Linked DNA regions of Caenorhabditis elegans. The protein of the gene in region 1 interacts with the protein of each later gene in a pairwise test. Each region holds a gene or a part of one and is shown on either strand. Other genes may lie near its edges.

What was found.
Region 2: the proteins of rsf-1 (region 1) and rab-39 interact in a two-hybrid assay, tested with the Caenorhabditis elegans proteins (one study listed by BioGRID).

Annotation. Positions count from the first base shown.
Region 1 is NC_003280.10:11,303,719-11,313,604, reverse strand, and holds rsf-1 (Ras association domain-containing protein 1 homolog), read right to left. Parts: upstream 7,207-9,886; 5' UTR 7,188-7,206; coding exon 7,148-7,187; intron 6,166-7,147; coding exon 6,078-6,165; intron 5,263-6,077; exon of another isoform or gene 5,113-5,262; intron 4,638-5,112; coding exon 4,544-4,637; intron 4,465-4,543; coding exon 4,330-4,464; intron 4,035-4,329; coding exon 3,803-4,034; intron 3,546-3,802; coding exon 2,751-3,545; intron 2,465-2,750; coding exon 2,349-2,464; intron 2,307-2,348; coding exon 2,203-2,306; intron 2,123-2,202; coding exon 2,026-2,122; intron 1,947-2,025; coding exon 1,800-1,946; 3' UTR 1,665-1,799; downstream 1-1,664. Other genes in the region: T24F1.4 (EGF-like domain-containing protein), read left to right, coding at 30-111; T24F1.7 (Small integral membrane protein 36), read right to left, coding at 334-423, 892-1,038; samp-1 (Transmembrane protein 201 homolog), read right to left, coding at 8,234-8,396, 8,860-9,423, 9,476-9,603, 9,653-9,731, 9,778-9,886. UniProt on the Caenorhabditis elegans protein: Involved in embryonic morphogenesis. Plays a role in the organization of apical filamentous actin in epithelial cells of the developing embryo. May play a role in let-60-mediated vulval development. May induce nuclear condensation.
Region 2 is NC_003280.10:9,321,177-9,325,612, forward strand, and holds rab-39 (Ras-related protein rab-39), read right to left. Parts: upstream 1,745-4,436; 5' UTR 1,734-1,744; coding exon 1,492-1,733; intron 1,439-1,491; coding exon 1,249-1,438; intron 1,199-1,248; coding exon 1,085-1,198; intron 1,036-1,084; coding exon 892-1,035; 3' UTR 682-891; downstream 1-681. Other genes in the region: wdfy-2 (WD repeat and FYVE domain-containing protein 2), read left to right, coding at 1-209, 256-412; egli-1 (Transmembrane protein 41 homolog), read left to right, coding at 2,784-3,524; eat-3 (Dynamin-like GTPase OPA1, mitochondrial), read left to right, coding at 3,712-3,872. UniProt on the Caenorhabditis elegans protein: Small GTPases Rab involved in autophagy. The small GTPases Rab are key regulators of intracellular membrane trafficking, from the formation of transport vesicles to their fusion with membranes.

The sequences.
Region 1 (9,886 bases):
AGATCACTAGTGATAATTCAATTTTCTAGAGTCCGTATCTACATACAGAGCCGAAAACCGCCTCGTTATGATGATATCGCTAAGGATCAGCCGCCTCCATACTCTTCTTGAATTAAAAAATCTCTCTCTCAACAAAAACTTTTTTAACCTCCCTGTGCTTCAATTCACTTTGTATGCTTGTTACGAGTTATTTTCTTACGAATTCCCATCGAAATTTTTCTTATAAAAATCTACTGAATTGATTGTTTAAAAATATGTAATAAATGAACGTTTCATTAGTCGAGATTTGGAATAACAATAAATTAGATTTTATTTTTCTGCGTAGATTTTTCTTCATTCTTGGATGACACGCTCTTCGCCGGTCCGACCATTGGTCACCGTGATTTTTGGAAGAGGTCCAAGGTCTCGTGGAGGTTCAGGAGTCTGAAAATTGAGAATTAGAAAATGTGAAACTCCAAAAAAAATGAGTCCAGAATTTAATAAAAATTTTGTGTCAAAAAAACTTTTAGGTATTAAATAACTACAATGTACATTTAAATCATAGACTAAGCGAGTATCCAAACTTTAAAAGTTGATGTCAGATGCAGAAGTGTGGCGGTTTTATGAAGGCACCTGTCTATCTAATGCCTAATTCGATAGTCAGTCGCTAAACCGAAATATGTCGGGTGCTTGAATTTGCTTGAATTGACAGCACTGAAGGTAAGCTTAATCTAGTATATTGCACAAATACCAAGCTCTTGATTTTACGCCACATATCAGAGAAGTAGGCAGCATTTTTGTGGATCTCCATGGAAAACAGAATTGTCAAAAAAACTAAAAAGTAAAAAGTAACCGGACACCTAAAATAACGGAGGCACCATTCAACAACAAAAAAAAACAAAAATCTCTCACCTTGCGTCTATTGTACTTGAAGTGGCATTCTTTGAGGCAGGCAATAAGTAAAATAAGTAGAATAGCCGTCAGAATGCACACCGGAACTAGCTGTTCCCATGTCGTCGGACCACCGTCGTATTCGTCAATAATCGGTTCGCTGGTCATTTTTCTCAGAGGAGCATATTTCTTGAACTGGAGAGCAGCAGCTTCGCAAGAGCAAGGGGCTGCTCTGGTTGTTGTTGTTGCTCCAAGAGCCAGTGCAAATAAAAGGCGGTAGAGAGAGACAGTGTCCGGACGGTGCGAAATCGTGAGCCTGCAGTCTATTGTATCCGAAAACGGACAGAGAGAGAGGCAGAGAGAGCCACCATTTACGGATCTCGTTGCATTGTTTTTGCATTCTGATTTTTTTCGTAAATTGTGGAGGATCAAGCAAAGGTGTTTAGTCGTTTATAAATAGAATTGAAATCCGAAACGTAAAGAAATTTTCGAACCTTGATTTTGGATGTTTTCAAGCCTTTTGAAATGATTTGGTAACATTGGAGCTCGAATATTTTGAAGTTTTTAGAATTTTGGAATCTAGAACTAGAATTAAGGAAACTTCAGACATCTAAGAATCAAAATTTTTAATTCATCACGGTATTTGGCGCCAACTTTTTCTCAAGTTCAGTCCAAAACTTGACATGGTTACACTATTGAGCTTTTGAACCTCGTTGGATCCGATCTACGGCTAGTTGGCGCGGATCACCGTTTTCTCTGATCTTTTGTCTCTGATATTTTGAAATTCTGTTCAATTTAAATTACAAAGTATTTTATTCTATAGCCAATTGGATGGGAGAAAAGTGACATCAAAAATGAAACTGTAGTAGAGTTTGTGGAAATCCGTACAAAGTGAGGAAAGAATGGAATAATACATTGTTATGAAATGTTTACAAATTCGTTGACTGGTCCATATTTTGTTTCTTGAGATACTCGAGATTCACATAGTCCGGGTCTTCTCCCATGATAGCGTTCTTGATTGTTCCCGAGAAGAGCATACTGTCTGATGTTCCATACTCATCCTGGTTGCGAAGGAACTGGAAAATATGGTGTTTGTAGAGTTAGACAGGTATAGCAGCTGACATTACACAGGTTCAGCCACTTGTTACGTCTTACCTCTTCATCTAAAAATGGATTGGTCTGAACCATCGGCTGCGCGGCTGCATCGGGAACCGAATGACCTCGTTGACGGAGTTCCGCATCAAGATGATACCTGAAAATGAAAACACCTGACGGTTAAGTGCACTTGTCAATATTTGCTAAAGCTTTTGCCCATGACGTTTTTCCTCTCACCTGTATTGTTGATATTTCTGTTGAGTTTGGAAGACGTACTGCTTCTCCTCCATTCCCAAAATTCGCAAGAAGTTTTCCAATTCGGGAATTTCAAAAGCGTCCCACTAAAATACGAAATTGCAATCAAGAAAAGAAAAGATGCATACCAGAATGTCACCAGTGTCGTTTTCCTGCAACACCAAAGCTCGGCCACAATGTGGGCTCTGCCAATTGAGCACAACTTTTAGAGGACACGCGTCGTCAGATATTCTCGTTAGCTTTCCTGAAAACAACAATTGGGTTAATCTGAATACACAGTTTTTAGAACGAAAATTTTCTTTTTAAAAGTTTGACAATTTATTACATTTTTCTTTCAACATTTGGCAATTAACCAAAAGTCTAATTTGGAAAACTACCTAAGTTTTGGTAAATTGGGAAATTAATCAAATTTTGTCAATTTTTTAAAAATTTACCGAACATTTGGCAATTTACCAAAATTTTGCCAAATTTTCAATGTGTTTTCAAAAACTTCTCCTACAATTCTGACACTTTCCAGAACCTTTACTTACTGTTCAATGTACATGTAGCCTCATCAGTAATCTGTTCGCACTCATAAAGTGCAAACTTCCTCGGGTTATCGGCAACTCGGAACTTCTTCAGCAGTGTTACAATCATTTTTCTCGCAGTTGTCTTGCTATCGATATTTATCACTTTTGCAGTGTTTCTCGGTAAGAAAAATGAAGTAATTGTTCTTAAAGATGTGGTTTTTGCCGTCGACTTTGCAGTATTCACAACATCATAAACAGTTGGTGGAATGACTCCTTGAACAACACTAATCGGTCGGCTCAAATTCATATTGACATGAATGTGACCTCCAAAGTTGACACCGTCCTCATGTAATGTGATTTCCATTCCCTTTGCCAAAGAGTTATAGGAATGGATTTTCCGTTCGAGATCCATTTCCTTGTACTCATCAGTCCACTCAAATGGTGTATCTTCCTTTACATATCTTTCCACAACTCTTAACGTGGCATATCTGGACTCTGGTGGAGCACTTGGTTCTTTCGTCCTGAGACTATCAACTGGTGAAAAGGATTTGGGTAATGTAAAGGAATTTTTCACGGAAAAAATTGGATTCTCTGCTGAAATCCCTGCTGAATTTCCATTGCCGTTTTCCTTATCAGATCCAGTGCTAGAGCTCATTGCTGGTGGAAGAATAAGACCTTTTGGAATGGTTCCGAGAGTACCGTCAAGTTGTGGATAAATTGAGTCAAATTCAGTTGAAGAAGCGAGAGAGCTTCCAGGAGATCTACAGTCAAGGGTCACTAAGTCACGACATCTTGCATGGCAGGTGTAGTTACAATCTGAAAATGTTTAATTTACAGGTGGGGCTGCATTCGGGAATAAACCAAGACTTTGAATATTATCTATTATTTCAAAACTTACCAAAAAATCAGTATTACCAACTTAGTCGCTGCCGTCAAAATGTGAGTTTTTTTTTTTTACTTTTGTGTACCAAAATTTTCCAAATAAAAATTAGGGAAATTTTCAATTTGAGCGAATATTTCCAAAAATGTTCCTTATTTTCCCCAATCCCAACTATGTATAGAAAAACCCTTACGTTCACACTTGAGCGCTTCCTTCAGAATACCCCAAATGAAATCTCCGCACTTGTCGCACCATGTTGGATGTAGTAGGGAATGTGTTTTGAAACTGTGATTATTTATCTTATTTGCTCCTCCTCCAGTTGTTATCAGGTCTTTCAGAGGGCCAAAGTGTTGCCGTTCTATTGTATCATTCCAAACGTGGTTCGAATCCAAATCGGCGAGAAATGTGGCGCCGAAATCCCAGATCTGGAAAAAAAAGGAAAAAATATACAATAGACGGTCGACTTCAAATATGTGTAAAATGTCAACACATTCTGCTAGTCTGTTTTAGTATTTTTCAAGCAATTTTCATCAGTTCAACTTCTACAAAAGTTCAAGTTTCAATATTTGCATTATCAATTATGAGGGCCTAATTTTAAAGGCTTGCCTTAATTGACTAATCTATGTACATTCTCTGACACTTTTTCAGACAATTATAACAGTCTTCTTTTATTTTCAAATATTTGAATTTGAACTCTGAACTGCGCTTTAAAAAACGTACATCAACCTGCTCTCCATCATCCTCCTGCCCTGCTCCACCAAAATGATCAAGCTGTACTGGCCTAAAGACGAGTGTACTCTCATCGTACTCGCCAATTGATTGCTCACTTTGTGGGCTACTTGTCGATGATGTCTCCTGCAACACTCAATCATCTCATCACCTTTTCCCACTGGATCCTGTCACACATAGACTAAAAAATAGGTAAAATACCCACCATTTTCTCGTCGTCCGATTTTATTCCCAACTGTGACATCCAATCGGGAAACAGACTCAATTGTGAGAGTTTTGTTCGAAGACCTCCGAACCAGCTGGAAAGAAAAAAAATTTGGTTGTGAAAGTGTGGATGATGCTCTTTGGTGACAGGAAATAGTGCGAGAAGTGGTGGAGTGTGGGTAGAGAAAGAAATTGAAAAGAGCAGATGGTCGTTTGGGTGGCGCAGAATGTCAAGGGTCGAGGATGCAAATGGTGAAGAGCTAGTGAACGGTTTTATGAGGAAATTATCGGTGGTTTATAAAGGATGAATTGGGTAATAATTGGGTTCTATAAAACTCTTAAATTAAATAACCAGAAGGAACAAAAAAGTTTGCCTGCCTTCAAAGTTACCTACCCCTACTAAGTGTATACATGCTTTCCTACTGCACAATATATGAAATGTCAAACACATTATTTAATTCAGAAGTGTATTACTGTAAAAAACAAGCCAAAAACTGAGGTCAAAGTACCTAGATAGTAAGTAGGTAGGTAAGTAGGTAGGTAGGTATAGAGTTGCGTCTACATTCCATGGTGATTTTCGCGGAACGTCGTACTTAGCTAATCCTATCACGCAGCTCTTGGCATGCGCCTGGCACCCAAGTAGGTAGGTAGGCACGAACGCCTAAAGGTGTCCCTTCCATTTGCCTTAATTTTAGCGTATAGTATTGACAAACGCTGAATAATACTCTAGAACATTAATTATGAAGTGCAACATTAAAAATGTGAAAGTTTATCCGCTGTATAATATATTGCGAAAATTCCAAATCAATAAACATATATCAAATTGATAAACATTTAGTAGGTTTTTCGTGAAAATGAAGATTTCATCATGAAAAGATAGGAAAATTGAAAAGGCAGTCAAGCAGAGAGAGATAATTGAATGTTTCCGTTTTATCAAAACATATGTTTTCTCATTTTCATCAATTTCCGCAAACGTCTTGCAAGAGAGATTTGAATCCAGAAAAAAAGTGTGCTTGGCACTGCATATACGTCAATATAGCCGAAGATTATCAGCTCAGATGCAAATCTTTTTGGATATTATATAAACTCCCAGAAAATATAAAATTTGTGGCTAGGCCACTGTACTTTGGTGACTTATATCTCAATTCAATTTAAAGATATTAAAAAAATTAAAACTACAAAGTTATAGAGAAACAACCAATAAGTATTTTGTTAGTTGACAGTTTTTTGATAAAACCAAAGATAGTGGAGGTATGAGCTGTCAAAGTTGGGAGTAACACATGGTGCATCGACGCATCGTTAGCATCTACTTCAGTTCGGCCTAACTATGGGAATAAATCTAAATAGACTAAGTTGTGTACCCATTAAAACATGACAAACGAGATCCATTGAGCACCTGAAGTCCAGTTGGAAAAAAGTGAAAACGAAAGAAACGACCTTATGATCGAGTAGAACCGAGGATCGATAAGTTGGATGGGACGCGGGGGATACGCAGACATTATAAGACATTAGAAATTCAATCAGATTTCACATACCTAATGTTAGATGAAGATGTCGACGGTTGGAAGGCGTATGATTGGTAGGTTGGGTCGTCAGTCGCCACACGGACACTTTGTTCACTCTCTGAAAACTTCTTCTTCTTTTTTCTTTGCTTTCACTGATATCTATAGGCTTTTTGCTATCTTTTGCCCCACACAGAAAGAGTGTTCTCTTTTCTCTCTTGTCACTTCACTTTCAACTGATTGTCAATAAAAAATGAGGAGAGTGAAATGTTGTAAACGAAACGTGCTCGTTGTGCAGAAACTCATCGCGTGCAATTTTTGATATAGATCTGAGCTACTGTTTTTTTGTTGATAAACTTTAAAGTTGGAAATTGGTGGAGTTCCAGTTTATGATTCGTTTTTTGAACAGATAATGTCAGGACCGCAGTTGAGAATTGGAAGGAGTATCGTAAGTCGAAAAATTGTTAAAACCGGTTATAGTGTCCATAGTGTCTAACATAAGTAAGTTATAGTAGTTATAGTTATAGTTATAGTTGTAGTTATAGTTGTAGTTGTAGTAGTTGTAGTTATAGTCATGGTGTCGACAGACGTCTAAGATGCCCAAAATAATTTAGCAAAACTTTTCAACAAATTTTTCAAATATTGTTATTTACAGTCAAAAAATGATCATAATTTTGGAAGTTGAACAAAAAATTTCTTTTTTTCTACGAGTTTTGTATTTTACCATGTATAAATTGTTATCATATAATCATTCTAATGGGTTCAAATTTGCAGACATTCTCGACATTACCCAAATAGTCCTCACTTTTAAAATATTTGCCAATTTGTTTTGGAAAATTGGCAGTTTACCAAATCCCTGCTAGAAATATTGGCAATTTGCCAAAATATCGGCAAAAATTTGGCAATTTACAAAAACGTTTTGGAAAATTAGGCAACTCACTAAAACTTTCTTTTTCAATCTAACTTTTATATATATATGTTTTCTCAACCATTTAATATGGTCAGTGGCCTAGAAAAGTCAAAATGCCTGACAGTTTTGACACAACCTTTAAAATTTTTCCTGTTGTTTAATAAAAACAAAAATTAAAAATTTGAAAACTCACCTTTAGCTTTATCATTATTATTTACAACGGACCGAAGCATGTGCACATACAGTTTTGATCTGAAATCATCATACATTCCATATTCAAAAGTACAAATTTAAAGTCAAAGTCAGCAGCATAAGTACATACACACGGTTTCTTCCGAGAATTGAGCTATTTAAAAGGGATATGGCATGAAAAATTCATAAGAGTTTTGGTTTTTGCTGCAAGACTCGTCCATTGAAAAGAGGAAGGGAGGATCACAAGTGAATGAAATATGAGAAGAAAAGGGAGGAAAATATGAGATACGGAAGAGAAAAGGAACAAATGACGGTGTGGATAATTGTGAGAAGATGAATACGAGTAACCGTAATTGTGGCAGAAGATGGTAAAAGTCGAACTGGCGTCGTCTGAGCGGCAGCAAAATAATTAACCACTACGCCACCGGTGGTTTTTAAGATTTTTTTATTTGATTAGCAGTAAATATAGAAGTGTTTTTTAAGTTTTGTGAAAAACCTTACAATTTGCCAATTTCAAAGTTTTCCCAATTTTGGGCATAGAAAACTGGTATTCAAAAGAGACATCTACTAAAGTGAGGTCAGGCGGACAAACAGAGGACACGAAGAGTGTGTGAATTGGCGAGACGCAGAGATTCGACCACTCCCAGACAGTGTGCAATCCGGGAGAAGCGCAGGAGTGGAGCAATTGTGTGGTGCGCAGCAGGCGGGATGGGGAAGCTGCCTTGTTTGTTGATGTTGTTGCAATCCATTTCTCATCTTTTGCGCGTTCTTTTTTCTCGGGAATTATTCATTTTGTCAATAGACTTGTACTGGAGAGAGATGTATATGTAGATGGGTTTCATGTAGTAGAAATTGAAGTAGTAAGGTATTTAACAACGAAGTGAGATCATCAGAGAGGGTGAAAAGGGGCATATTTGAAAGAATAAATTCAACAAAACGAGCTAGACACACATCAAATAGTAAAAGAGCACTGGGAACCCAAATAACTTGAAACTAATATCACACAGGATCAAACAACAAAAATGTGAATAGGGCATGATGAGGAGAGAGATGAAACATAGAAAACAACATATATAATAAGGTCGAATCAATTGCGGGTGAAAAGAACGTAGAACAGTCCGATCTGCATGATGAGTACGATAAAAACCAGCGCGAAGAGGATGCCGATGACGCGACACTGCCACGCGCCGCTGACCGTTGAGTGTCCGTCTTGTTGCGAGACCGATGTGAACACTGAACCGGGTCGAGTGCTGTAAATAAATAAAATTGATGGGAATCTTGAAGGTTAATAGAAGGAAAAACGTAGAAAAACCAAACAGAATTTAGTCAATCTTTTCAATAAATGCTGGTTCTTGCAAAATATTATTGGCTCCAAAATACCGTAACCACGGTCTCGAAACGAAAATCTAATCTTCAAATTTTAAATCTAAATTGAATAATAACGGAATTTTCAATTCTTTTTAAATTAATTTTAGTTTTCATCTGAGCTTACGTGACCTGTGACTTGAAAGGTCTAACCAAAATTCCACATATTATTTATCAAAGTCCAACGTCCAATCAGTTCTAAGTTTTTAAAAGTCTAATATACAATTATCCTGCACAAATGCTATCACACTATTGCTTCTCTAATTATCATTCTAAACAAAAAATAACTGATTGTTCAAGATTAAAGGGTTAAGTTTTAATAAATATTTCAGTTTCAACAAATCTTACTGTGCTTCCGGTGCCATGTAGTGGCTCCTGTCGTATTGTGAAGCTACCATAGATCGTGGTGGCCCGAACAATGATCTAGTCGGTGTGTGATTCTGTTGCTGAGCCATTTGCCGGTGTTGTCTTGAGAATATACTTGGAGAATCGACAGATCTCGTATCAAGATTCAAATTTGCCACGGAGGGTGTAAGCTGTTGAGCAGTCATTCTTTCATTGATATTTCTGGATAAAAGTCCTGGCTTGAAATGACTGGAACGAGTTGATTGAGCAACCGATTGAGCCGCCATCGATTCACTATCATCCCAATCCATTGATTCCACGTGATTGTTAGGTTTAGTCTGATAACTTTGCATATTTTCCTTGTTCTCCCGACTTCTCATTGCAGACCACACTGGACCATTTGTTATTTCACGGAGCAATGGTGGAGAGGAATTCATTGCTGGAGGGCTTGCTGATGGCGTATGTGGAGATCTTCGAAGAATCGTGTGGTCATGATCGAGAAGTGAAGCGTTTCGACTGTTTTGTGAAGAGCATTGAGAGATCGGAGTTGACGCAACAGAGAAGGCACTGAAAATTGAAAAAGTTGAAGGAATTTTTAAAAATAAAATATTTATTTAACCTTGAAACAATCTTATTCGGTCGTTTCTTATGCAGCTTTTTCCTTGGAAGAAGTGTCACTGCCATTGAAAGGATCGTTGAAAACGAAGCACATGCACCTCTGACAAGAGCGACATCTTGTGATAAATTCTGAAAAAAAGAGGTGTAAAACTTGCAAAGGGTATATTTTGAAACTCACATCACTTGAAGTCAAAACTGTTAGCATTGCGAGGATCAGAAGGATGGGCAGCAGCAGGTCGGGAAGAGTAACTCGGCATCTGAAATTAAAATTACAGTTTTTTTGTATTGTAGAATGAAACTTACTTATTATTAAATGCAGCAATCAAATGTGTAGTGAAGATCAGAAAATTGATGACGAAGGAATATTTATAAACTTCTGGCAGAATATCTTGAAGAGCCTTTGGCAAATTGA
Region 2 (4,436 bases), 2.0 Mb from region 1:
TGCAATCAACCGTTCTTCTGGAATCTTCAAGCAATGTGGCAGAGGAAAGTGGTCGGATTGAGACAACATCACTGCAGAACCTGTGGATCAGCAGTCTGTGGATCTTGCTGTGACAACTGGACCACCTATCCACCAATGGGATATGAGACGAAAATTCGCATTTGTAATGACTGCAATGCACGAATGAAAGATAATCCACAGAATTTCAAGTAAGTTGTAAAGCAAATGACTGATGAAACTTATTTTCAATTTTAGCCTTACTCCACTTGCAATTCCACATGAAATCCATACTGGAATCACTGCTATGCATCTCCAGGAAACTCTCGGACTTCTAGTTACCAGTGGACAGAATCGTGTGATTATGATTTGGGATGTTCGAAGTGTTTGCTCTGCCCCTTCTGGATCACAATAAACAATTGCTTCTACTTCTCGAATTTCTCATAATTCTTTGTATTTCATCTAATTTATTTCCTCTCCTTTCTATTTTGTATATTCACTCTCAAAATGCCCATCCTTCCCCAAGACCAATTGTTGTCAAATCAAGACCTTCTAAAACTTACCAATATTTCCCGATACCCCTGACAGGTTGTCCTGAATAGTGATTGTGATTCTTACTTTTCTTCTAATCCCGATAATTTCCTAGTTTTTCGACTGTAAAATTGTATTTTTACAACAAAGTTTGAAAAAAAATCTTTTTTTTTGAAGTTTTTGGACAGAACGACTAGAAATTATTTCAAAAGAATGCATGCCGGGAGAGTAGGTGAGGTTGGTGACACTGGATGAAGGAGAAAGCTCACAGGAAGTACACAAAATAGCTGAGTTTTTGATGTTTATAAGAACGCTACGCGAAATTATGACTACGGGGAAAATTAAAAAATTGAGGAGAAATTATCAACATCCGCAAGCTCCTGCGCTGCTGTTTTGAGGGAAACTTCTTTCGGATAGGCACACGGATTGTGACCTCATAATACCAGTTTTAAGGCCTTCCCAGCCATCCACGGGCCGCAGTTCTCCGTCGTCGACTCGATTTTGAATCTAAAAATTTGAAAATTACATCATAAAATTGAAACATTTTCAAAAAAACCTCTTGTGCAATCATATGAAAAGCTTCATTAACATTGTCTCCTGTTCTCGACGACGTCTCGATAAACTTCATTTTATGGTACTTGGCAAAGTACTCGCCTTCCTCATAGTTTACCTGAAAGCTTTTAACCAATTTTTTAAACACAACTTTTGTTCAAAAATTACCTGTCGCTGTGAATCCATATCACTTTTTGTTCCGACTAATTGGAAGACACACTTCGATGGGCTTGGACCACCCAAATTTAATGCTGCTTCTTTAACCCAATTTTCAACATGCTCAAAACTTTCTCGATTCGTTGTGTCGTAGATTGCAAGGACTCCAACAGAATTCCGATAGTAGGATTTTGTAATTGATCTAAAAATATTTTTTTTAATCAGCTAATATTCTTTTTAAAAAAATCCACATACCTGAATTTTTCCTGTCCTGCTGTATCCCATAGTTGCAATTTAACACGATATCCAGGCCTCAACTCAATCATCCTTGCATAAAAGTCTACTCCGACAGTTGGGTCGCTGATTTCGGCCATTTTTCCTTCTGTGAAGTACCGTAAAAGACTAGATTTGCCAACTGTTGAATCCCCAATAACGATAAGACGATATTGGTAGTGAAAGAGCGGTCCATAGTCGTCACCAATGAAGTTTGTTTCCATTTTGTCTAAAAAATGATATATTGTTGAGCGTTTCCAATAGAGAATGATGCAATTATTATAAGAAAATAAATTTAAAGTTATCCGAGCAACAATTATCAATAAATATTACTTTTTTAAATGAAAACCTTTTTAATTTCAGCAGAAATCTTAGAAATCAGATGATCAATAAATAAAAACGGCTGACTTTTTAAAGGCGCATAGAATTTTCTTGGTGGCGGGTCCCGCACCGAAGAGCCGTTTTCTAAATAATATACACTAATGATTATTTTTATTAAATTTTTTCACGGTTTTCGAGAGTATTCTTTATATAAATTCAATTTTAAAGCATTCTCGTCGAGTTTGAATCCGAAATTATCGATTTTCGTTTTTCTCTGCTTTCTCTACCGCTGTTTTCTCTCCTCCGCTGTCTTCGCAAGATTATAGAGCTCTTTTGAATCAATTTGTTTCATGTTTCCGCTTTTGACGTTATTTTAAACATATACTGATATAAATAAATTAAGAATAGAGTAGAAAATCTAGTTCAAGTAAAGATGCAACATTTCTTTCTGCAAAATTTCTCGAAAACACCTGTTTTCCAAAACTTTTCAATTACACAATTAGAATTTCGGAAAAGTTAACATATATAAGAACATATTATATATATATATATATATATATATATATAGATTAACTCTCACAGTTAAAGAAATCTGAATAGTAATATTGCGAAATAGTTTTGCATAAGTTTGTTTGATTAAATTAAATGTGAAGCACTAACGCTATTGAATCCAGGAAAAACTCGAATTATTTGTTTGATTTTTATTAAACACACTTTGTGAACAATTTTCGGTTAAGAGGCTTTGTTGTAGTAAAAATCCTAAATCTACGATTATCTTCTTAAAATTTGACATACTTCTTACGTATGTTACAGGATAAATCGAGTTTTGATGTATTTCGTAAATAGTTTTTAATCATGTTATCTTTTTATTTCCCATCTCTATGTTTTAATGTTGTCTTTACACTAATTCACCCGTAATGTCCGTGCACAAAAGAATTTAACATTCAGATATTATGGAAACAAAATCATCCCAAACTTCACATCCGTGGCTTGTTCTACTCATTTTCGCCACTTTTGCGGTCTCAATTTTTGCTGTATACAGCAATTTTCCTGAAGTCTCGGCAGATGAGAAGGTTCATTTGAAATATCCCAGGAATCTGGAAGACGCTAAGCAGCTGGGCAGAGTTCTCTCGAAGTACAAGGAGAACAACTATTCAGTAGTTCTGTGCGGTGTAATTGTCGTCTACGTATTTCTACAGTCCTTCGCTATCCCTGGATCTATTTTTCTAACAATTCTATCAGGATACCTGTTTCCATTCTATGTGGCAATTGTGTTGGTGTGCTCCTGCTCTGCAACTGGAGCCGCCATCTGCTACACCATTTCTAAACTTTTTGGACGATCATTTGTTTTGCAAAAGTTTCCCGAAAGAATCGCAAAATGGCAGGATGATCTGAGCAAGCATCGTGATGACTTTCTGAACTATATGATTTTCCTTCGAGTAACTCCAATTGTTCCAAATTGGCTAATCAACATTGCCAGTCCTGTTCTAGATGTTCCACTGGCTCCATTCTTCTGGGGAACATTTCTAGGCGTTGCTCCACCAAGTTTCCTGTATATTCAAGCTGGCTCAACACTGGAACAATTGAGCCATACCAGTGTAGCATGGAGTTGGAGTTCTATCGTTTTACTTACGGGTTCGGCGATTTTGTCGCTGGCTCCTATTTTGCTCAAGAAGAAGCTCAAATCGGATTAATTTTCTCTCTTATTTCCTCTTTCGATCTCATTTTTTTTCCATTGCTTTCTGTGCAAAACTTGTGATATTTAGAGAATATAGCCGATAACTCATTTCTATACTATTTTTATTTATTTTTCGCCTCCTTTTTTGTCATAATAATCATATTTTCTTCACTAATAAACAATTTTTAGGTGATGAAACAATGATGCGGATCGCCACAAGACGCCGATTCATATCGAACAATTTGCACAAGTTTTCCCGGATATCCGCCTCCACTTCTGCAACTTTAGCCGCATATTCAAATGGAAATCAACATCAGAACAGGCAATTCGGCACAAATGCACTTTTCAGCAAAAAAGGAGGATTGTGAGTCTCTCTCCTTTTCTCTCTATTCCTCTCTCTCTCTCTGTCCGCTCTTTGATGAGTAATAAGACACCAAAAACCACGAAGATAGCGCAAAGGGGGAATGTGTTTTGTAATACTGCTGTCTCTTCTCTTTTTTTTGCATCTTTGGTTGATGACGTTTATCAATATGAAAACACCACATTTTGAAGCGAACAAAAAAACGACATTTTGTCTTTTACCACTCATTTTGAACTTTTGAAAAATTGTTTAAGATTTTTTAACGAAAAATTTTCGGATATTTCACATTTTTGGCAATATTGTTTCCTAAATATTACCTATCCTGAAGATGAGGTTATATAATCTTCCAAGATCTTCCAAGAATATTTCTATTCGTTGATGTTCAAATTTCATTTTTGACGGGAAAAAACCGAAGAAGAAAACAAAATTCCGAACTTTGAACCTCTGGAACAGAAATAAAAAAATGGGAAATTTTTTGGAGAATTAGAGAAATAGACATCAAAGACCATGTGCTCACTCGGAATTTTATTATTCTCAATCCCATTGGAATATACTTTTACTCAATCC